2 linked regions of the Notamacropus eugenii genome follow. The protein of the gene in region 1 interacts with the protein of each later gene in a pairwise test. Links are inferred from orthologs where the notes say so. Each region holds a gene or a part of one and is shown in the gene's direction. Other genes may lie near its edges.

Evidence for each region.
Region 2: the proteins of AQP1 (region 1) and RGS17 interact in binary tests that used the Homo sapiens proteins (3 or more experiments, as listed by UniProt). The two-hybrid records come from large-scale screens. The link is inferred for Notamacropus eugenii from reciprocal best matches to the Homo sapiens genes AQP1 and RGS17.

The regions. Positions count from the first base shown.
Region 1 is NC_092874.1:486,227,254-486,239,658, forward strand, and holds the start of AQP1 (aquaporin-1), read left to right. Parts: upstream 1-6,410; 5' UTR 6,411-6,527; coding exon 6,528-6,917; intron 6,918-12,405. UniProt on the Homo sapiens protein: Forms a water channel that facilitates the transport of water across cell membranes, playing a crucial role in water homeostasis in various tissues.
Region 2 is NC_092873.1:245,566,460-245,578,978, reverse strand, and holds the start of RGS17 (regulator of G-protein signaling 17), read left to right. Parts: upstream 1-7,373; 5' UTR 7,374-7,482; coding exon 7,483-7,538; intron 7,539-12,519. UniProt on the Homo sapiens protein: Regulates G protein-coupled receptor signaling cascades, including signaling via muscarinic acetylcholine receptor CHRM2 and dopamine receptor DRD2.

The DNA.
Region 1 (12,405 bases):
TATGCTATGGTTGTATGAGTCTAGTACTCCTCCAGCTGGAGGGCTTTATTGTCTACAAGAATGAGAATGGACATGAGGCTGGGGAGAGGACAGCAGCACCTCCACCCCAACAGAATCATAGCCATGTGACTTCCCACTTTGTCCTCTCACCTCTTGCTGTACTCAACCCTCCTTCAGGGTTAGCTGGAGTTTCTGCTGGAAGCAGGCACTGGTCTAACCACTCTATAAACCCATAAACTGCTGGTAATCAGCCTGTGTTTACCTAGCACCTGCCAAAGGGCTTCAGGAGCTTCTGGGTGGAGTGGATTCGGAGCAGAGTGGATTTCTAGGTCTGCCTTGGCTCCCAGCTTAGACCTGCAAAGTTTTCTAACCAAGTCTTGTTGTAGAAAAGAGCCAGGGGTGGTGGAGTCCTTCTTTCTTGCTCAAGTGCTGCCCTCAGGGGCTGGCAGAACCAGATGAATCCCGCTTTCCTATGCCAGCCCTTCCTATATATGGGAAGGACCCCCACACTTCTCCTCTCCAGGGCACAGTTCCTGCCAGTCCTCTTGCCATCCCATTCACACAGCTTTGGATACTTTCCCCATTGGTGACAACTGCCGAGTAATATTTGGCCCCGAGCTATCATCTGACTAGGTGAGGCAGAGGATGGCTGGACTAGCACTTTCCTCATGCTGGGGCCCAATCCATTCATAAAGCCTAGTCTTATTGGCTTTGACTCATATTGAGCTTGTGGTCCACTTTGACCCCTGGGGCTTTTCCAGATGTACTGTGCTCTAACCACATTTCTTTCCCTTTTTATTTCTTCAGTTGGCTTTTTGAACCTGGATGTGTGACTTTACATTTATCTGTATTTATCTGTATGAAATTCTAGACTATGACAATAATACCTACCCTCTCTATAGTATTTTAAGATTTACAAAGTGCTTTACGAATATTTTCATTGATCTCCACAATGATCTTGTGAAGTAGGCACATTATCATCCACATTTTAGGAGAAGGGAAAAAGAATGGGCATTTATACAGCATCCGTTATACGCCAGGAGTTTTACAAATATTATCTCATTGGATCACGTTTTGCAATTGTTTTATAAACATTACATTTTATAAATGCAGAAACTGAGGCTAATTAAGCCATTTACATGGAACTGGTAAAATGGCCAGAAAGGTTTGAACTCCTATCTGTGACTACAAGTCTAGCACTCAATAGAGTACGCCATCTAGTTGCCTGAAACTTTTTGGATCCCAGAGTTGCCATCCAGCATGTTAGCTCTCCCTTCCCAGTTTCATGGTGTCCACAGATTATACAAGCAGCCTTGCTGGATTTTCATTCAATTCACTGATAAAAATGTTGAACAGACCCAGGTTGAGAACAGAGCCCTAGGGCACCCCACTAGAGACCTTCCTCAAGATGGGTGTCTCTCTCCCTCCCTTGTCCACACAATTTTCGAAAAAACATCAAACACCTCGATGGAAGCTTTCTGATGAGCCTGTTTAGCCTCCAGGGCAACAACAGAAAGGCAGGCAGTAGGGCATGTTCTTATCGAGCCCTTGATAGTGTATAGGGGTCATCCTTACCAAATCCTCATAAGTTACTTCTTTAACATGGCACCAAGACCCGAAGTCAAGTCAAGGCCACTAGCCTGTGTTCTGAAGAGCTGCCATCCTTCCTGTTGACTGCCCTTTTCCAGGCCTGGGGCTCCTCACCTGCTCTTAATTTTTCAAAGCCCTCCCTCACCCCATGGGTCTGTAATCCTTTGGCTTTTTCTCCTAATATCTGTGGTGTCCTTCTGATTTCCCTGGATATCTAGTTTCTTGAAGATAACCACCCTACACTCAGGATTCCTCTGCCTGATAGTAGGGGAGGCAATGGCTTATCTCTTAGAGAGTCTCTGGTGTGAGGAGGAAGACCCAGCTCCCATCTTCAGAAAACCTCCAGTCCGATGGGGAAACAACCTTGGCTCTCAGAGAGACCTTAGTCTGGGGAATGAGAAAAAGCCACATCTAGGAATCTATAATAGGACCCTGGCTACGGATTAGCATCCTCAAATGATGCTGAGATTCTGAACAGTCTGGTCCAGCAGTGCTCAGGGCTGTGGGAATCGAGGAGGTGAGAGGCTTGGGAAATAGTTTTGGGGGCAGGGTCAATGGGACATGGCATGGAGGCAGGAGCTTAGTAGGGGTGAGCTGTTTGGCCCTGAGAAATCATTAGAACATCAATGAAGAAAGGAAGGAAAGGGATGGGGGCTCAGGTAGGTTGGGGACTTGCTGGGTCCTTCTTTTTCTTGGACTGTCATGAACTGAACATTGGAATGCCATGTAAAGGAGCTGAAGAAGGGGCTCCTCATTCCACAGCTTCCTCCTGCTGCAGAAGTGAGCCCTAAGCTCCATCCAGGGGCTTGCCCATCCTCTCTTTCCTTCCCTGTCTCTTCAAGTCCACAAACCCTGAGGAAGCCAGAATTCTGGGCCCAGCTGGATGCTGGAAGATGGAGGAGGTGGGCATGGCTTTGGGGGAGGTATTGTCAGCCCCCAGGGAGATCCGTGCATTGGGAGATCAATCAGCCCAGCAGAGACCCAGACATCCCAAAGGGTGAGGGAAAGAGATGGGAGCCCACCCAACCATGTTTGGGTTACTGGATAACCATTCCCAATCCTCCACTGGGGAGGATTTCCTGGAGGAGGTGAGCCAGGGCCTGGGGGAGGGACAAAGACAGTAGTGACCCAGCATCTCATAGGGCTAGTCTTCCCGCTCCATTGCTATCTGCTCTGGCCTAGTGTGACTGCCCTAATCCTATCTGTCCCCATGTCAGAGGGTCACTACTCTACTCTGGGACTGATGTCAGGGGTTCCCCAGGAGCCTGTGTGTGACAAGCTTTTATCAGCAAAGACCACAAAAGAGCCTAGGCCTCAGGGTCACAGGGACCTCAGGGTCTACCTAGTCTAAAGCCCCCATTTTAGAAATGATGCAACTGAGGTGAGGGAATTTGTCCAAGGCCAACCTTGGAATCTGCCTGCTCTGGATTCCAGGCTTCTCCCACCCCCATTCATGACTGCCATTGCATCTCTTTGCCCACTCCCCACTCCTGACCACCAACTTCTTTAGACACGCTGACCTCCTCCTAGTGGGCCAGAGCCAATTCCTTCCGCCCTCCCTATACTGTGGCTATCACTCTGCCCACTTGTAAAGGCTGAGCTCTGGAACAGAGCTGGTCCTGGCTTCCCCACCCCCATTCCAGCCTAAGTCCACTTCAATCAATCAATCAATCAATCAATTCATTCAGGCTGGGCACTGTCCTTGGTGCTAGGAATACAAAGGCGAACCATCTCCACCTCCCCCCCAAAAGGAAAATAAACACACTCTGCTTTCAAGGGATTCACATTGTCTTGGAGGAAAAACCACGGAACACAAAATATACAAGAAAGCTGAGAACGCTGCGGGCAGGGCCATTCCTCCCTCCCCTTCAGGATGCCCCCTAGGCCTTCTCTACCAGGACCCAGAAACCCCTTCATCCTGGAAGCTCTCGGTGGTCAGCATTCACACTCAGGAAGTGCCTTCCAGGGCCCTTCTGCCTCTCCCTCTGACTTGACTCTTCCCAGGCAGGCACCCAGACCAGCCCCAGCTCTTTCCTCTCAGACTTGCCCCATCCTACCCCCACCTTTTCAGTTCCCTTTATAAACTTTCTCCCCATTAGAATGTAAGATCCTTGAGGAAAGGACTTTCCTGCTTTTGTGTTCACAATACCTAGCAAGGACTTCATAAATAAATATTTACTGACCCATTGTCTGAGGGCTTTGAAGGACTAGCCACTAGTAACTAGGAGGGGGTCAGAGTCTTGATGGGACTCAAATGAAAGGACCAAAGGGGTCTCTGAGTATAGTCATCCTTAGGGGTAGCTGGCCCACTCTGACCTGCGAGTGGGCCCAGCCAATGTCCCTCCCACCCCTCTCCCCAGATCCTGGACCCTAGGAAACAGATACTGGGCTCTGAGACTCTGGCCTGGGAGATGGGATTGTGCCCTTCCCCCTCCCTTGAGCTGTAGAGACAGAGAGCAAGGGACGTCCTTCACCTCTCTCAGGTCTGGCGTCAGGACCTCTTCTTAGCTCAGAGCCCCCAGGCCCAGGAAGCCCTGGATTTCTATTCTCAACTCTGTCCAGACAGTGTGGATAAAGCAGGACAGTTACGTAAGTGGGAGGAAGCACTCAGGACAGATCCTTGGGGCTGGGGGAGGAAGGACCAAACAATTTGAGCTGATTCTTAATGGACCTTCTGATCTCGATACTGGATTTTTTGTTCTCTCCCTTAAATCTGGCCCTGTCCTATTGCCACCTTTGAAGTGAGTGTCTGCAAAAGGAGAGGAAATCCGGGCTTTTGAAAGGGCACATACCTCAGGGAGGGGTGAGGAGAGGGCAGAACAGAAGAATGACGGACAAAAACCCCTTCCTTGGTCCCTGCCAAGAGACTTATTTCCTACCCAACCACTTTCATCCTTTTATCTCTGACCTTCTCTGTGCCATCCCTGAGACTTCCAGCACTCGTTGTGTTTCTCTCTTCCTGTCTCTGTCTCTTTCCTCGCTGCTTCTTTCTCTCCCCTCTCTCCTTCATTATCTCCCCTGCATGTCCCTCTCTCCTTCTCCTTTCCTTCCTCCCCTCCCCCTTCCCTTATATCTTTTTCCTCAATTCCTTTTCTTTCACATTCCTGTTTCTCTCCTACTTTCTTCTTCCTCCCCCTCCCATTTCCCCTCTCTTCTTTTACTCTTCCTCTGGGGTGAGGCAGGGGTGCTTGGGGGCACTGCCCACATTTAATGGGTGCAGACACTTACCCTCTTGTAGGAACATCTGAGCTGAGTCTCCAGATGGCAAGGAGTGTTCCGAAAGAAACTTCCCCTTTCTCCTCGGGAGGCTGGCACCTCCCCTAGTCCCATGCCCAATGATGGCCCTATCTCCCCCTCACCTGGGTTCTTTCTGTCCTCTCCATTGAACCTCCCCCCTTCCCCTTTCTCCTCTCTCCTCTCAGTCTTTTCATTTCTCTTCTATTCTCCTCTATCTCTTTCCTTAAGAAAATGTAGCTCATATTTACATAGCAGCTACCACGTACCAGACATCCTCACAACCCTGAATGGTGGCATTCAGCTGTATTCAGCTGTGTCTGACTTCATTGCCCCTTAGGGGTTTTCTTGGCATTTGCCATTTCCTTGTCCAACTCATTTTACAGATGAGGAAACTGAGGCAAACAGGGTGCCAGAGTCACACAGCTAGTGAGTGTCTGAGGTTGGATTTGAACTCAGTTCTGGCATTGAGTGCAGCCCTGGCATTTTACCCCGTGCACCACCCAGCTGCTCTTTCTTTTTTTTTTTTCTCCCCTTCCCTTTCTTCTCTGTTTTCCTCACCTCTCCTGGCTTCCTTTCCCTTCTCCTGCTCTTTGTCTTGCCTATCCCTCTCTCTTTCCTCCCTCCCCTTTCTCTTCTCTCCGCCCAGGCTCTGTCCCAGCCCCAGCCAGAGTCCTCTGTCCAGTCTCCCTGGAGATGGCAGAATGGGCTGCTTTTTCTGACCAGGAAACAGGACAAGTGCATTTCATCTGGTGCACCCGGAGGGTGAGCCTGCAGCAGCAGTCTTTGGGTGGTGGGACAGCGCCCCCCCCCAGGCAGGTAGGGTAGAGGGGGCTCCCTCAGACCTCTGTGCCCTCAGTCAGGCTTGGCCAGCCCTGTTCCAAGTAGGGGGGAGGGGAGGCAGGACAGGAGAGGGGAGGGGCCCTGGACTGGTTTCTGGCCTGGAGGTGGGGGTGGGGGCTTGGGGAGTGATCTGGCCCCTTCTTTGGGCCAGGGACTGAGCCTAACCCAGCCTGCCCCTCCTCCCCTCCACCCCCAGCAGCCTGGCCTGTCCAAGAAGCCCTGTTGCTGGGCCTCCCTCCAAGTAACGGGGCAGTGGGGAGAAGGGCTCACCCTGCCCCCCCAAGGGCAGAGGGCATCCTGGTGCCAAGGCCCAGCACAGCCCCACCACCAGAACTCCATCCTGGAGAGGGGGGCATCTAGGCTTGGGGGGAAGGAGCCCCGGGAGGGAGGCATGCTGGCATTCCTCAGAGTGCACCAAGAGGCCGTTTAGGAGAATTTCAGAAAGCCTATTAGAGCTGCCAGCCTTATCCCTGGCCCCTGCCGGCCGCAGCAGCTGGGGAGCCCTCCCCAGTCTGGCTGGGGAGGGAGGGGAGAAGAAGGAAGGGAAAAAACCAACAGTTGGCATTCACTCAGGCAGCACTCTCTCTCCATCCATCTCTCCTTCTGCCTCCCTCCTCCCGCCCCACTGGCCGGCCGGCCCCCAAGGAAAGCCAAGCCTTCCTCCTTTTGTGCTACACCCTCTCCCTCCTCCTCCTCCTTTCCCCTGCCCCCTCCCCGAGGTCCTATAAATAGCCCCAGAAGGCGGCTGTTCTCCAGAGCACTGCTCAGGCTCTGAGGTCAAGGACCAGGGTGCCAACCATCTGTGGCCACTGAGGCAGGGCAGGGCAGGACAGAACAAGACAGGTGGAGGTCGGGGCACCATGGCCAGTGAGTTCAAAAAGAAGATCTTTTGGAGGGCAGTGGTGGCTGAGTTCCTGGCCATGATCCTCTTTGTGTTCATCAGCATTGGCTCAGCCCTGGGCTACAATTACCCAGTGGAGGGCAACAAGACCTCCGGTGCCACCCAGGACAACGTGAAAGTCTCACTGGCCTTCGGCCTCAGCATCGCCACGCTGGCGCAGAGCGTGGGCCACATCAGCGGTGCCCACCTCAACCCTGCCGTCACCCTGGGGCTCCTGCTCAGCTGTCAGATCAGCATCCTCCGGGCCATCGTGTACATCATTGCCCAGTGTGTGGGGGCCATTGTAGCCGCGGCCATCCTCTCCGGCATCACGTCAAACCTCCCTGGCAACAGCCTCGGGCTCAATGGGGTGAGTGGGGGCCCTGTGGCCGGGGGTCGGGTGGGGCTGCAGACCAGCCTTGAAAGCTGGGGCTCACACTGGGGAGAAACTTGCCCCAGGGCATCACACCTTGGGGCAGACCATAGCCTCCTAAGATGCTGTCCACAGCCCAGGCTGGGGCAGGACATGCTAGCCAGTGGGCCAGACCCCCTCTCCCAGGACCTGCTCTTGAGGAAGGGCTTTGACAGCAAAGGGGGCTGGGCTGATAATGCCTTCCTCCACTTGTCTGGAACTCTTGAGTGACTCAATGCTCCCCCACCACAGGTGGTTCTTTGGGTAATTGGCCACAATCAGACACCATAGTGGGAAGACCTGGGCAGGGGCTTACCTCCCTGGTGCTTCTGAGCCCCTGGTTATAAAATGTCCACAGTGCACACACCCACCCACACAGAGACCCAAGGAGAAAAACATCATCTGGCCAAATTCGGTCAAGCAGCTGGATATTTTGAAAGCCATGAACCTGTCTGAACTCAGCCTTTTACCCATCTTATTCCAAACCTCTGTGTATTTGAGGGGTGGGGCAGGGGGGAGGTCAGAAGAATGAAAACCTTGGAATTGTCAGGTGTTCCCCTTCCCCCTGCCTTATCACCTGGGTTTCTTCTGTGCAAAGAGCTTCCAAACTCCTGCTTCTTGCCTGAGAACTAACTAGGTTCTTAACTGGAAGGAGAGCAGAGTTCAAGTTTGGCGTGGGGATGTTCTGATGGGGAGAGGTTAGGAAGGCGGACTGGAGGAGTTGCGTCCCTGCTCCCCAGACTCAGAGTGGGATAGTCGTGGGAGGCGGCAGGCACGCACGGTTTAGACTTAAGCGGGCTCCGTTCGCGGTTCTCGAGCCACCCCCCAAATATGGGAGCCAGGGTGGAAGCTGTGGAGAGGAATACCTGGGGATGGGGGGACCATGGGCGGGGTCCTTCAGCCCATTTGTACTAGGAGAGCTCTGCTTGGCTGCTTCTGGGCCCCCCGAAGGTCAGTGAAATGTGGCACACACAAGGCACCGCAGCCAAGAAGCTGTCACTGAAATCCCATTACAGGGTCTGGCTCTCACCCAAGGGACGCCTGGGTTCGAGGATGACTCCCCACCTTAGGAGGCACTGGGCATCCAGCTGAGGCTCTTCCCCAATGCCGGGGGTGGGGGTGGGGGTGGGGTGGGATGGGAGGGGTTAAGGGTGGCCCCACAGGCTGTTTGCATGCCTTGAGGTACTTTCTGTAGAGGGGACCAGTGTAGGGTGGCCTTTATTCAAGGGTGTCTGAGAACACCCCAAAGCCAAGCCCGTTAGTAACAACTGTCGGCCCTCTCAGTTCTCTTTCCCTTCTGGGACATCAGGGCAGAGAGGGGCAGAATCTCAAAAGACCTGTTCCCCTGCTCCCCATAGCCGAGCCATACTCCAGAAGACTGGACAGGGTGGGGGAGGGAGGGCAGGGGTACTGGTCAGGGGAATGAATCAGAAGTGATCTGGGGGGCAGATAGAGAGTTAGGAGGTGGGTCCAGGAACTAAGATGATAGGATATAGTACAATCTCCTCCTTTTATAGATGAGGAAACTGCAGTGACTTGTCCAAGGTCACACAGGCTGTGGGCATATGAACCTGGACATGAACCTCGGGTCCCCTTTCCACTGCCCTGTGATGCCCTGGGTAGGACCAGAGCCTACAAAAGAAAGAGGGGGTGGGGCTGGCTGAGCCAGTCAGTGGGGTCCCAGCCTGGGAGCTGAGGCCCCAGCAGGGGCTGACAGGATGTTGGGGGGCAGGGGGAGAGGCAGAGATTCTTCACTAAACGAGCCAGGGATGAGAGAGGAACGTGCCACAGAATGTTTCCAGATTGTGAGACAGGTGTGTGCGTGTGAGTGAGTGTGTAAACCCTCTTGCTAAAGTCAGCCTCTGAGGAAGCCCTGGCCCATGACCAGCCCTGGGAGACAGACAGCTTGCAGACTTGTTAATCAAACCCAGTGAGCACCCAGAGGTGGGCAATGATTAGCACTTCAGATGTTTGGCCAACACCTCACTGAGCCCAGTGATTAAGCAAACGCCCTCCTTTTGGCCGAGGCTTGAAGATTAGCTAGCCAAGGCCCCCAGTTAGCTGGAGTTTGGACTTTAGTTGGAATGTGGGGTCCACTTCCAGACCAGAACAGGTCACTGGAAAGTCTGGGTCATGCCATGACAAGCGGGCAAGTTACATGGCTAACCTCCCCTGTGGTTCTCTCTCAGTCTCAGGACCAACAGACGCCGCCCTGTTCCACCTCCCTTCCCCCTCCCCAACACCGCTCCTCACAGGGCTATCTAGGGACCAAGGAAGCAGAGATGTGACCACTCAGGTCCTCTGTCAATAGAAGGAAGTAGACGGGACCTTGCAGCTCCTCTTGTCCAACCCCCTCCTTTGACAAATGAGGAAACTGAGACCCAGAGAGATGGCACTTGACCAGGTCTCAAAGGCAGGTTCTCAGGTGCCAGGTCTCACCCTGGATAGTCCCACTTGGGTTGGATAGTGGAGCTAGACCAGTCTGGGATGAGTGAGGATAAGAGTTAAGTGAGTAGGGGAAGATAAATGCCACCTGTCCCTCAGGGAACCAGTGACTGGTGCTGAGGGAAGGTGGGAACAGAGGCAGGGATCTTCCTAGGGACATGAAGCTCTGTACATGAGGCCAGTGAGGCAAGCTTGGAGGGAGCAGGAGAGAAAGGAGGTATGATTCTGCCCCAGGAGCCTCCACTTGTCTAGGCATAAAAAGAGACATTTCTCTTCCCCCATGCCATGGGGGTGGGCATTAAACTCTCCTTGGAGGCCAGGAAAGAGGGTGGGGTAGGATGGGGTGGGGCTGATGGGGTGGGGAAAGGGAGTCTTTATCTAGCAGAAGGTTGTGGAAAGACACTGAAAAAAACAAACTGCTGTTTTGGACAAAACTCTTCAGGCTGCCTCAGTTTCCTCTTCTTTAAAAAGAGAGAGTTTGACAGGGTGATCTCTGCTTTCTCTAGGCTTCCAGGAGCTCAGCTGAGCTAGGAGGGAGCAGGAGCCTCCCTGGGGTTCCTTCTAGAGGCCTCAGCGCCCTCCCCTTGGTTCAAGGGAAGGGGATGGAAGGGGATAACCACTTCCAATGATACCAGGGTCAGAAGCCAGCCTTCCCTGAGGGGAGTGGGTCCCTTGCTGGGTTGCATAGATAGCCCCCCACCCTCCTCTGGCTCCCCATGCACCCCCTCCCCTTCATTCCCCTGAGATCTCAGATGGGCGGAAGGCCGTAGAGACCCAAGACAGCTCTCTGCTGAAAGCCCCCTCCTTGCTTGGGCTTCGGCCTCCAGGCTCCTCCCACAACCAGCCCTGGATGCCTGGGTACTTGGGCAGGACAGATCAGGAGGGGAAGGACAGGAGGCGACAAATGATCAATAGGAGACAGGGAGGAGGAGGATCTTTCTCGTTGTCCTTCCTGTCAATGATTACCTTTGGCACTTGGTGGACCTGGAAGTCCAGCAGGTGAGACTGGCTCAGCGGGACCAGAGCCAGGGCAGGAGACTGGACTTGCTCCCAATTTCCAGAAGCTAAGGAAGGTTCTGGAAGAAAGGTCTTGGGACCAAATGGCTGGGGAATAGGAAGCAAATGTGATGGGGGAGGGATAGTAAGTTGAACTTGTCTGGGGCCACCTCCACACCCTGACTTTCTGAGGGAGGAGCTGCCCTGGATCTTGCCTGGCCCATAAATGCCAACTGACCTCGGCCTGACCCAATCGCTTCAGCCCCTGTTCACAGGCCTGCACTCTAGCTTTCCTACCTTTGCTTATAGTCTTCCACTTGCCTGGAGCACCCTCCTTACTCTTACATCTAACCCATCCCTCTTCTCCTCCAAGGCTTAGGTCCTATACTGTCTCCTTCCTGGAGCCCCCAGCCCAGAGGGTACAAAGAGAGACAAGCTCAGCTTTGTAGCTGGAGAGAAAAGGACACCACCCCCACCCCAGCAAAGAATAGAGAAGGCTTTGGTCAGTGGCCAGGGCAGGGCTGGAGTCTCCCCAAGTCCGGTTTAGCCTCATATCCCTCCAGCTTCCTAGACACCTGGGCTTCCTCTCCCTCCCACTGTTGGACCCCAAAGAAGAAGGGGCCAGGCAGGGGAGGAAGGCCCTGCTTCCTACAGGTTCCTGGGTCCACTGCCTATGGGGAAGTCTGAGGCACTGACAAGGTCACCCTGTCTCACCTGCAGCAGGGGGCAGTCATTCTATTTCCCATGCGCATGTGCCTCCTGCCTGGAACGCCCCACTCCTCATCTCCACCTCCTGGAGAACATCCTCATCCAAAATGCCACTTCTTACAGAAAGCCTTCCTGATTTCCAGTTGGCAGCTTGTTTGTAGGAGGCTGTTTTCATGTGGCCTCCTCTGTTGGGCTGGAAGCTCCCTGAGGGCAGTAGGCTTGATTTGACCTTCCTATGTATCCTTGGCACCTACTTAATGCAGTGTCTCAAACTTAGTAGGCACTTCATAAATGCTAGCTGACTGACACACCAAATACCTCTCTAGACAGTCCTGCAGAAAGGTCCCTTCACTGCTGCACTTCCTGCCTACCCTTCCAATCAATCCATAGATCCACCAGAAGAGTGCCCAGGCCCGATAGATCGGACTCTTCCTGTGGGCCTGGGCTGGGCTGGCCCCTGGGACACAGACACACCAGCGAGCACTGGGAGCCTTTGGGAGCTGGAGGCTGTATCTGAGGCAGGAGGCGATGATGATGATGGTAGTGGTGATGGTGATGGTGATGGTGATGGCAGTTGACATATCTATGTACCAGACACTGTGCTAGTTGCTTTATGAATATGATCTCATTTGATCTTCACAACAACCCTGGGAGGTGGGTACTGTTATTATTACTCCCATTTTATAGATGAGTAAACTGAAGCAGGCAGAGGTGAAATTGTCCAGGGCCACACAGTTAGGAAGGGTCTGAGGCTGGATTTGAACTCAGGGCTTCCTGAGTCCAGGCTTGGCGCTCTAGGCCCCCTAGTGCCTAATCAGGGAGAGGACCCTGTCTCTGGAGTCAGAGGACCTACTTAGGGTCAGATTCTGCTTCTGACTCTTATCCCCTGGCTGCTCTGGGAAGTCAGTTGGTCTCCCCAAGCCTTGGTCTTCTCCAATGTAAACTAAGAGGACTGTTCTAAGTGGCCTGAGCCCCTCCCAACTCTCCCTGGGTGAGAGCTATGTCTTGAGCTCTTGGGGGTACTCTCGGTCAGTCCCTTCTTTGCCCTAAGCCTCAGTGGTCTCATCTGTAGAAGAGGGAGCAGAACGCTTAGCCCACCATAGGAGGGTCAGCATGGGCATGATGGCTGGGCCTGAGCCATGCCCCAAGGACATGTGGACTGGGTTGCCCCACCCAGCTCCTCCTGCTGCATCCTTTTCTCCCATAGCCTTGCCTTGGCTCCGTCCTCCCAAACTGGAGGAAGGCATCTGAGAAATTCATTCCCCAACAGTGGAAAAAGCACCTAGGTTAATGGAAG
Region 2 (12,519 bases), on another chromosome or scaffold:
TGTACCAGCTTCTTGCTACTGAGAATCTAATTTTGGCTGCTGAGTGTGCTGTTTGGGATACTAATGCCTTAGGAGTTATCAGTTCACTTTAGGAAATAATAAATAATAATAATAGATATATACAACACTTAGAAGTTTATGAAATATTGTACACACATTATCTCATTTGATCCTCACACCAACTCTTTGTGGTAGCTGTTTTTATTATCCTGATTTTACAGATGAGGAAGCTGAGATTGAGAAAGGTTTAGTGACTTTTGCCTAGTGTCACAGAGGTAATCAGTTTCTTAGATGAGATTTGAACTGAGGTCTTCTTAACTCCAAACCTGAGCACTATCCATTGTGCTACCCAGCAGCCTGAGAAAGAACAAATAAAGTATATTAGAGATTTGTAGAGTAGGGAAGATGTAGCGTCCAAAACAGGGACTAAGCTAAAAAGCCAAGGCAATATGGGAAAAGCCCAAGGGAGGGTTGATTGAGCACAGTGGTAAATGTCCACACCATGAATCAAAGTTTCCTAGGACCCCCAAACTCTTTTCAAAGAGTTAATCCTTGTTGCTCAAATGTTTGTTTTATCCTTGTTTCCTCCTCCTCCTCCTTCAGAAGGGCTTTAAAGTTGAAAGCGTGTTACACATAGTTGCAAGCTTGTGTTCCATTCAAAAAGTCATAGCCTTTTCTTTGCTATAACCTGTTCATAGCAGTCAACATACTCTATGGCAGGGCTTCTTAAACTTTTTCCACTCACAACCCCAGGGTATATAGATACGTAATTTTTATGTGACCCAGGGTATATAGATGCATAAAATAGGTATACAAATCAAACATTTACTACTAATAAATCATAAATAAATTTATCTTAAAATAATTCTTTGGTATACATATAATATTACCATTTATTAAAATGAAAGCAAATGAGATGTGCTTATTTTTACATAAAGAACTAAATCTTGAAGGAATATTTGATACCATGAGACATAGAGCATCTTCAACATTTTTCAGAGTTTTTTGATATTTTAATTTTATGATTGTCAATGTTGAGAATGCTGCTTCACATAAATACATGGTACAAAATGGCAGAAGTATGGTTAAGGCCATTTCAGAAATTGTTGGAAATACTGTCCTAATCCCAAGCCAAAATTCATTTAATGATTTTGTATGTACAGTAAAAAAACACTGCAATTCATAACATACAAGCATCTCAAATCTGAGCATAGATATTTTTGGCAGTGTTTGTTCACATTGCGTGATGTGATGGCGTGCACAGTGCAAAGTGCACATGTTCTGTGTTCGGAAACAAGGCTTCAGTGAAGTTGCAGGATGCAAATGCTGCCAGAAACAACTTGAATTCATTACACTTTTGATTTTGAATTAATTTTTCGTCATTGAGTGTTCAGAAACCTTTTATTGTTGCAATTTTTTCGTGACCCCATGCGACCCACAGTTCAAGAAGCACTGCTCTATGGAAGCAGTACAATATAAGGGAGATACAATATAAGACAATTCCTACTGTGTGCTTTTCTCATGGAGGTTTGGTCCATGACTGCTGAAAGGAGGGAGGATATTTTCATTTCAAAGTCCAACCCCGATCTATTATCCCCATAGCTGTCAGTGATTTTCTTAAAGCTTAGGTTTGATGATGTCATTCTCTGTTACCTTCAGGATCATACTATAAAATCTTCTCTTAAGAATTTAAACTCTTTACAACCTGTTCACTTCCTACTTTTCCAACCTTATTACACATTATTCCCTTGCGCATACTCCATAGTCCAATGGAAGTTACTTAAATTATTTAATGTTTCTTATATGTCTATTAATTTCTTATCACCATATCTTTACTATAGTTTCCTCTCCTGCCTAGAATTCTCTCCCTTCTCCCTTTTTCCTCTTAGAATCTCATTTGCCTCAAGGCTAAACCCAAACACAATGTTCTATGTGAATCTTTTCCTGTTTAGTCTTTCTACTTGCTAGCATCTTCCCACCCCCACCTCCCAACAAGTTACTGTGTTTCTGCTTTTATATATTTGGCATATGCTTATATATATACAAGCTCTTTTCCCTAGGTGGATTATAAACTCCTTGAGGTCAGGAAATGTTTTATCTTTGTTTTTTCATTCCCAGTATGGTGCTGGGTGGCACCTAGCATTTAATAATTGCTTGTTGAATGATTGTCTGAAAAAGTAAGTATAAAAATACTCAAAATCTAGTATCCCATTTACTGTACTGTACTGTGCAAGAAAGGCAGTAATCATCTGAATGGCAAATGTACTACTTAATCAATTAGCCCAACATTTTCTGTTTAAAGAAAGGAAACTTCCTGGCTGTCATTTTTTAAAGTTATTACAAAGGGAGGTTTAGAACTGGCTGTCAGTCAAAACTGGTACTACCTCTGTGCCTTTGGGGTTTAATAGATTGTCACTCTATCTTATAAAAGTGTGCTTTAAAAAAAAATGAAGACTGTGAGGATAACACTAATCATTTGCTAAAACTCAATAGGAAACTAGAGTCCTTTGAAATGCAAATGAAACAATGACATTTTCCTATAGTCTTTAATTTTTAGAGTTTTTTTTTTTTGCTTCAGTTTGATTGTAGAAATATGAACTGCTGGTTAAGTTTAGGGAGTAGGAAGGGACAAAAAGGAAATTAAAGTACAAATAGTGGAAAGGAAAGGGGAAATTGATACTAAAATGCAAAGCAGAAGGTTAGTAGGTCTTTTTAAATTTGCCTTTGTTTCTAATGTTATTGCATTTGTGATAGTTACATTCTGTGTTAGAGAATGGGGAATGTGGGAGGCTGGTGAAGAGAGGATGTCACCTTAAAGAAAGAAGGTCACTAAATGACTAGAATATCCAAAAGCTGTCAATAGTTCTTTCACTGAAAGATCTTTGAGTTTCCAGTTGGCACAATGCTTAGCCTTTAGTCCTTTCTATAAGGCTGAGACAAAAGTAGGAGAGAAATGTTAACTGTCCCTAGGCCAGTAATACATGAAAGAGGTAATCCCCAAGGTTTAGAATCTCCAAACAGTGCTAGAATTTTATTGATTGTAATATTACAAAAACAGAGATATGAGCTGATATTAAAGTCCATTTCTAACCAACTGGGAAAATGCAAATGCAAACAGTTGGTTCGTTCAACTATGTGTTTTGGGGGTGTTCTTTTATGGGGAGTATTGTTTAGTTTCCTCTATAATGAGCACTTGAATGTACAGCTGAAAACTTCAGCTAAGACTTTTAAATATTAATAATAATGAGGCCTTTTCTGGATTATCATTTTTTTTTACTGTTGATTAGAATAATTTAAATTTTAGCTGTTATTCCAAAAAATATTAGCTTTTACTTTTTTAGCTGAAAAGAACCATCCTATTTATCTTTGATGACTTTTTCATGAAGAATTTTTTGTTATAGAAACACTCATGTTCATGCCAAATAAATTTAAAATTTGAAGGAGAAAAAGATTGTATATGACTGGCATTCATATCTTTAGGATGACTGGATCATTTAAAATTAGATAATTTACTTTTCATGTTTCATTTTGTATATATTGATTTTCTAAAAAACTTTGTATACATGGACATTTGTTCAGAAACCATGAGAAGTATCTGTAATAGATGTAAGATAAGATAATCTGTTTGCATGATATAAGACTGTTCCCTTGTAGGCTAACTGTGGTAGTAAAGAGAATGAACAGACTTAAGGTGTCCTGCAGAGCTTACTCAGTATAGGTGGACATCTACTTTTTGTGATTCTTTTAGACTATTGTGTAATGCATTGTGCCTGATGAATGAAATATAATCACCGGCATGATTTGTTTGTTCTCTGCCAGAATGTGGAATAGTCATAAACTGGCCAACTGTAATTTGTACCTTTTGGTAAAACATATAAAACCAATACTTTGAAAGAACAGTTTGATATTTCCCACCTGCACAAATGAATTGAAGAAATAGCCTCAAGATTTGGTCTAGCTTACTTACAGGTTCCCTGTAGTTTCTCATCAGACACATCCTTTTGGTTGATGGTACAGTTTGTGTCCCTACCCAGTCATTTCCATGTGCTGATTTGTTTTGGTTGAATTATTTGTCATAATGGAGAGTTTCTTTTTTTCTGGGAGGTAGAATTATAAAGTAATAGTGATGCCATCCAAAAAAATTAAAAGAGGAAGAGGAGAAAGAAGGAAGCATCAACCATTTTTTTAAACACAGGAATGTCTACTCAAAAAGGGAAGTGGTCAAGAAGGTCAATTTTATTATTGTCATATTAATCTCAATATAAAAACCTGTGTAGTCAGCATTAACAGTTTCATATAGTCTTCTGTTCTTTGTATGTAGTTTCCATATTGAAATTTGCATTAATAATAAAAAATCATCAAAATCAATGAATGTATTCAAGGCCTCATAAATAAATAGTGAATAGATGTTTTCAGCAGGATTTTATTCCCACTAAACTCTGTACCACTAAGCCTGTTTTGGGGAGTGCTATGTTCAGTTCTAGATGCTTTATTTTTAAAGGAAAAAAGTCTTTTACAATCATTCTTCAACCTGTCTTTCCAAACTGACTTATATCCATTCCTCTTAATGCACTTTGCATTTCAAACTGACCTATTCAATGATGCCTGTTCACAATATTCCATCTGCCCTATCCATGCCTTTATATAAGATGTCCCCTATGCCTGGAATGCTCTCCCTCTCTACTGCTGCTGCCTGGAATCCCTAACTCTCTTCCCTTCATAGTGCTTAAGGATGCCTTCTTCCTTCCCCCACCCCCCCAAAAGAACCGTTCTTTTGAATTTATTTTGTACATACTCATCTGTGGGGGGAGGGGTTAATAGCACCCACCTTCCAGTAGGGAGTTCATGAGGATGTGATAAGATAAGAATTGTAAAGGGCTTATCATGGTGCCTGACACCTAGTAAACACTATACAAATCTTAGCTATTATCACGTGCATATTGTTTTCCCCCAGGAGAATATAAGCTTCTTGAAAGGATGGACCTTTCTTCAGTTTTGTCTTTGTAGCCTCCAAACCTAGCATATAGTAGACATTTAATAAATATAAACTGTAATAAATTGTTCAGAATGTGGTTAAAGAGGGTGACCAGGAAGGTTCTGGAAGCTATATGATATTTAACTGTGGTTGAAGGAACTAGGAGTGTTTAATCTGGGGGGACGGAGGAGATCGCTTGGGAGAGTGGGGGGATAACATGAATGTAAAATTTTAGATGTTTGAAGGAAACTTCACATGGCAGTGACATTAGACATTCTATGTACTTCCAGATGGCAGACCTAGGACCAATGAGTAGGATGTAGTGACAGATTTTGCAAACAAGAACTTTATAAAAATGGAGTGAACTGAGTGGTTGCATAGCTTGCTCCCCGTCACTGTATTTATTCAAACATTATTTTGCTTCCTTTTGAGGCATTACTCCAAAAAGATCACCTATTCTATATTTTAACATAGCTTCCCTAAAAATGCTAACATCAATTTTCTTGCTTTCATTAACCATGGAAAACTAACAACTCGCATTAATAACAATTTTTAATAATGCCACTCTTTGATTTTAAGAAAATAGAGACTTCAGAATTAAAGAGGAAATGTTCATTGTAGCATCTAATGATCCTGGCAAAAGAATGAGATAGTTGAACTAATTGTTATTTAGTGCCCCTTAATTGACAAGCATTAAGTTCAGTAGATAGCCCCAGCTATCCCTTTTGAGTTCATTTGAAACCTTGGAAGACGGAGTTAGAATTCAAAATTCTTTTGATCAATTGGAGAAGTGGCTAGAACCAAACACAAACAGATCTCATAGAAACTTGTGTGATCATTTCATCTTTAATTAGAAAGTTACTCTGGTTTTGTAAAATGACTTATGGGTCAAAGCTTACATGGAAAAAGAATAAAACATACTAACATGAGATGGATGATGACTGACAAAAAAAGATTTAAAAATAATACTGGAAATCAAACTTGAAAAGAAAATATTTTTTAAAATGACACTAGAGTGCTGCTCCAAGAAAAAAGATTTGGCTGCACAATGTAAGCTAAAATTTAAACCCTCCCTTGGACACACTTCTTTGTGAGATCATTCCTTCCTCCCACTCCTGTTGTTTTGAAAGAGCATTTGAAAAAAAAAAAAGGTCCCCTCTATTGTTTTTAATCTTTATATTTTGTGGTTTAATTCCTTCCCTCAGACTTTTGATATGACTTTTGAGTTGCTATCCAGCCTCAACTTTAGTTTGGAAGAAATTTGGACTGATGTGTTTGATAAGAGGTGGAATGAAGAAAGTATTGCTACATAGGATGATAACAAAGGTGACACATAATCAGCTGCTCAACTCTTTGATACTGTTTCCACTGCCAGGGCAAAAATCTTTGTGATTTTTTTTTTAAAGAATAAACATGGTTTAAAAAGCAGTCAAACCAAAAGCAAATAAGGTAAAAGCAGCTGGATGGTCTCAATGAGTTCACAACATCAGACATGGATGAACTACACTGAGAGATGAAAAGACCTGGAAAACATGATTGCTAAGCCCATCAGTGATATTTGGAAGACAGTAAGAAGAACAGGAGAGATGGTGCAGGAGAACAAATGACCAGATTTTCAAAAAAAGGAAGGGAAGTAGTGTGTGCAAAACAAATAAAACAAAACATGAACTTTATTTTTTATTTCTAACAAAACTGTAGGACATATTAAGAGAATGGTTTGTGAACATTCAGGATGGAAATGACAGCATGGCTCCATCAAATAAACCTTGTTTCCTTTTTTGATAGGGTTATTAGACTGAGAGATTTCAGTAAGACATTTGACAAAAGGCCCTCATGCTAATTTTGTGAACAATATACTCAGATGTAGGCCAGATAATAGTTATAAGGTATATTTGAGACTGCTTTAATATCTCAACCTAAAGAACGGTTATTAAGAGAGCTATGCTTGGCCCTATGCTATATAACATTTTAATTGATGACTGCTTAGTTGAAAGTTCTAGATGGCAAGGTGGTCACCTTCATTGGATAACGAATAAAGAGGGGATAGAATGATTTAACAGCCCATTTGAAGAAGATCTGGAGACTTTGGTGGCTTGCAAATGTGATAGTATTAGCCCATGGGGTAGTATGTTAGTCAAAACAAGGTAATGCTATCCTAGATTGCCTTAAAGAAATAACATCTAAGACAATCAAAGCTGAAGGACCACTGTGCTCCACCCTACTCAAAACACATCAGGAGTACTATTCTGTTTTTGTTTCCACATTTTACATAGACAGACTAGAAAGGATGAGGAGGATACTGAGAGTACTGGAGCCAAATAAGTATCAATAGTGGGAAGAAAAGCTGTATTATCCAGGTAGAGAAGAATTAGAAGAGACAAAACAGCTGACCTCAGGTATTTGAATGACTGTCAGGTGGAAGAAGGATTAGATTAGTATTGTTGTTTGATTCTAAAGGGTAGAGACTAGAGCAATAGGTACAAGTTTCAGAGAAGCTGACAGCTAACATGAGACAAGACTTCCTAAAAATTAGAGCTATCCAGACATGTAATGGGCTGCCTCGGTAAGTATAGAGGTTTTATTTTTTATTTAAATAGATTAAAATTAAGATAAAGTTATGGAATCAGAGTTAGGAAAACTTGATTCATATCTCACATTTAACACTTACTAGTTGTGTGATATTGAGTAAGTAACTTAGTGTCTCATTTTCCTTGTATGTAAAATGAGACAGCTGAGTTTCATGGCCTCTAAATTGCTTATCACTTCCAAACCTATGATCTCATGATCTCTGTGACTATTGATCTTCAGATAGGAGCTGGAGGATCAATTTGGTGCACTGTGATAGAGGGAGTTCTTAGTGAAGTAGGACTAAATGGGAGGATGGTACAAATTACTGGGTTAGGGAACATATGTCACATATGTCCTTTCTCCGTAGTATCTTATTTGTCAATTGTTTCTCACATCCATTGTAAGTTCAGTGAATTTCAAAGAAAATAATAATGATATACAGCATTCTGTCAGTTATCAGTCAATATAGACTCTAATTAACCTAAGAACTACTAATTACACATTCAGGGCAGCATATAATTATATTATATTGTAATCCTTAGCCACTTATACATATATGCACATCACGTTCCGTGCATATGCAATTCTGAATAAAGGCTTGTGAATTTGTTCTGCAAACCAAACATTTCTGAGGTTTTCTGATAATAGATAACTATTCACTTCTGCTCTTTGACAGTATGACAGTGTATTCTCATCTTATTATATGCTTTGCATTCATCTTGAATCAGTTATTTTAAAGTGTGGATGTTTTTATTAATAAAGTTGCTATTTGGGAATTTGGATTACAATTTTATTTAATTATGATGAAATGTACATTTAAATTTTTCTTATTCTTTTTTTATAAAACCTAAATGCTCTTACATACAGCATGAACAATTTTTGAATATTTCAGACTTTTAAGTAAAAAAGATCTGATGTCAAAATTATAAAAATTAAAAACTTTAACATCTTAGTGAAACATAAAAAGCGTTCTCAGTAATAAACTTTAAATATGCTGCATTAGGGGAATGCTACAATTTGTGAAACTGAACTTTGCAGATATGAATTTTAGTGTGATATATATATGTATGTGTACACATATATTTTTGATTTAAGTTGTTTTACAAGTTTACATTTTTATTTTCATGTGTTCTTTAAGAATAAATGTTTTCTTTTACCATTTCATGTTTCATTTGTATAGGAGGAAAGGGTATGTTTGTTTTCATTTTTTGCACATCAAAGAGATACAAAGATGTTAGACAGTTGAATGCAGGCAGTTTTCTTCTCTATTATCCTACCTTTTTAGGTGGCCAGAAAGACAAATAAAATTTCATTGAGGTCTGAGTCCCTGTAAACAAAGTAGGACTCAAACCCAAGTCTTCCACACTCCAAAAATGGCCCTCTATTCACTCTGCATTTGGAGTTCCCTTATAAAATTAGAATTTGGGTCAGATAAAATGGACTTTAGGAAGAGGTACAAGGTAAAGTGACTGCTTCTGTGGTACTAGATTTATGAGGGGAACAGCCTTCCAACCTCCAATCAAACCTGCCACGTCATGCCACCATACATTTCATTCTCTTATGTATGAAACACTTGATTTCAAATAGTCTTAAATGACATGTCTTTAAGAAATGTTTGTTAACTACTTACTTATCAATCCTAATAAGATTCCTTAAAAGTTAACTGAAGGTAAGACATGAAGCATAGTTGGAGGGTGAGGTTGGGAGAGCAGGGTTAGAAAGGATTGGGAACACAGCCACTAGTAAGGAGAAAAAAAGATTCATTGTTCAGATATAAGAAGAGATAAAGAAGGTGCCAACGGCAAACTTCGCCTCGAGTTTTATTTAACTATATAACCTTGGCAGAATTGTCATTTTGTAGTCCAACCAAGTCACAAATACCAGACTAACTTTGTGGCACTATGCCACTTCAATAAATAGTTATATTATGAGGACATAGCTCATAACCTACCCTCTTTCAACTTTTCCAGTCTTCTTACACCATATTTTCCTCTATATCCAGTGGCAATGTCATCCTTGTGGTTCTTTACACTAGACAGTACATCCGCTGACTCCAAGAATTTTCATTGGCTGGCTGCCATGCCTGCAGTTCTCTCCTAACTCATCTCCATCTCCTAGCTTTCCTTGCTTTTTTAAGGTCCCAGTTAAAATCCTACCTTCTGCAAGATTCCTCATCCCCCCTAATTCTCATGCCTTCCCTCTAAGATTACTTCCAGTTCATCATGTGTATATGTTATTTGTATATAGTTGTTTGCATATAGTCTTTCTTCATTCACCTGTAGAATGTATGAGAGCAGAAACTGTTTTTTTGCCTGTCTTTGTATTCCCAGAGTTTAGCACAGGCCTTGGCACATAGGGACTTAATAAATGCTTGTTAACTTGTTGAGAAGTCTGCCAAATTCAGGACATTCACTCCTTTATTTACAAGTGAATGGAGCAAATATCATAGGGTGAGATTATTCCTGTGGCACTCAGTGAGGCTTGTTTCCTTTCTTTGGGCAGAAAATAGCAAAGCATGCAGAAAACAAAATGGCAGATTCAAGAAATCTTGTCTTCAAAACCACAAGTGAAAACCATTGCCTTGTGTAAGCAGGAGAGCTGAAATGGTTTTACATAGTTCAGCAGCTTTGGTCATTTGAAAGATTGCCAGAAAATAATCATCCAAGACGTTGTTCAGTAGTACAGCTGAACTCTTTGGGCCCCAAAATACAAGGCTCTGAGCAGGGCATTATTTAACCTGGAAAGTAAACAAGAGCAAATAGAATGCCTAGACTAAACTAACAAAAAGTAAGTAAACCTCTGGCCTTGCAATAGAATGTGACCATTCTCTCCTTTACCCAGTGGCCTCCCAGATCATTTGATTTCTCTCCTTTGAGAGCCATGAGTTGAATATTCAAAAAATATTTATTAAACCTCATCCATGTGGAACAATTATAAAATTGTGAGAAACAACATGGGAATATAATCATAAAATCATAGATTTAGAGCTGGAAAGAGCCTCAAAGGGCTTCTAGTCCAACCCCACCAACTTACAGATAAGAATAGACTCATGAGAGTTAAGTAACTTGCCCATGGTCATGCTAGTAGCAATCAGAAGCAAGATTTGAACCAAGGTCCTTCAACTCCAGAGCTAGTACTCTTTCTACTATACTATGCTATTTCCATTTTATTTCTAGAGCTAGCTAAGCTTTAGGATCACACTGCATTAGAGATTTTCACATATTTCCTCTCATATTTCAGAAGATGACCAAGTCCTTTTCTGGAGAGAATGAAAATAAAACAAAAAGGGCATTCTCAAACTGGGGGTAGAAATAGGAAGGAAACTCTAAAATCACTGACTCATTTTATACTAATGAGAACTTCTCTCCATCCTTTTGGATTTATAAATGCAGAACTCTATACTGGAGATTATTGAAATGTACATGGACATTGGGATTATGTGGCAAGATGAGATGACCTCTGATAAGAACATAACAAGACTTTTCATGTAGAAATTTCCACCTATAACTAAACCTGTGACATAACTGTACTCATTCCTTCTAGAGTTCTTCATGCAATAGGAGACTCAAAGCACCTACTACACATTTCTTTACAAACTTACTTCACATTCTATCTTTCATGGACTCTATATTCTGGTTAAACTGGCCTACTTGTTGCTCCCAGGATTTAGCATCCCATATTCTACCTTTGTTTTTTGCACAGGTCACCCTCCACATTCCTTCCTACCCCATCCCCACACCTAGAATCTACTTCTTTACTTTTACATTTTAGAATTCTTAGCTTCCTTCAAGGCTCAGCTCATGTGCCACCAACTATAGGAAACCTTACTGATTCACCAGAGGTATTCTCCCAGTGGAAAATAAACATATTGAAGGCAAGAGCTATTTCTTTTTTTTAATGATCTTTGCATCTCAGGTACCTAGCGTAATACCTTGCCCCAGCAAGATAAATATTTTTATATATAATCTCTGAGAATTCTTATCTCAACTCCTCACTGATGAGATGGGTCCCCAGAGTTTGGCCACATCCCTCCTTCAGGGGTCTGGGAGTATGCTTTAAGGATCAGGGGTGATACTTTAATGACTTTGACTTAAGCCCTCACTAGTATACTTCCTCCCATGATTATTGAAGGGAAGGAATCATTTAGTCAGCCAGCCCAAAGTATCATTTAGAAAGGGGTATTTACTAAGGAGCTGCATTAAGAAAAGTTAGTTCAAAATATCCACTCAAAAGTCTAGGACACAACCTTCCATAAATGTATGAGTAGTCCAGGGTAAAGGAAAGTGGGCTCAAGCTTAAAGAGCACATATGGAAAAAAAATAAATAAAATTATAGCTCCTAGTTACTGGAAGTCCTTTGATTTCACTTTTGGGGTACTCTTACACTCCCCTTAAACATGATGAATGTGCATCTAGTCTGTCCTTGACTTTTGATACAGATGGTTCTTTCCTCTGATGTGAGGATACGCTGCTAGGATACCAAAAAGATGATGGGAAGTCTAATACCCTTTGGACCACTGAAATGTGCTCTGGACAAAGGGGATGGAGGGAGAGGGTAAACCTAGGCTAAAGCAAGAGATGAGATCTCTCCTTCCTTCTAAGAAGTTCTTTTTTCACAGGGTTTAGCCAAATTCCATGCTTGTTCCAACTCTTTGAATGAATGTCTTCTCAAATCCACTTGATAATTTGTAGACTCCTGGTACATGACCAAGTTTCTTTAGCCTGTCTGAATATGGTTGTACAAAAATCATTCCAGTTAGGACTTTTCACACTTTGACTGGGCCTATAATTGAAATTGATTGATTAGGCATCTTTTCACTTACTTTTAGTAGGGTGCAGTTCAGTTGTTTTCTTAGTTGCATGACTCTTTGTGGCTTGATTTAGAGTTTTCTTGGCAAAGACACTGGAGTGGTTTGCTGTTTTCTTCTCCAGCTCATTTTACAGATGAGGAGACTGAGGCGAACAGGTTAAGTGACT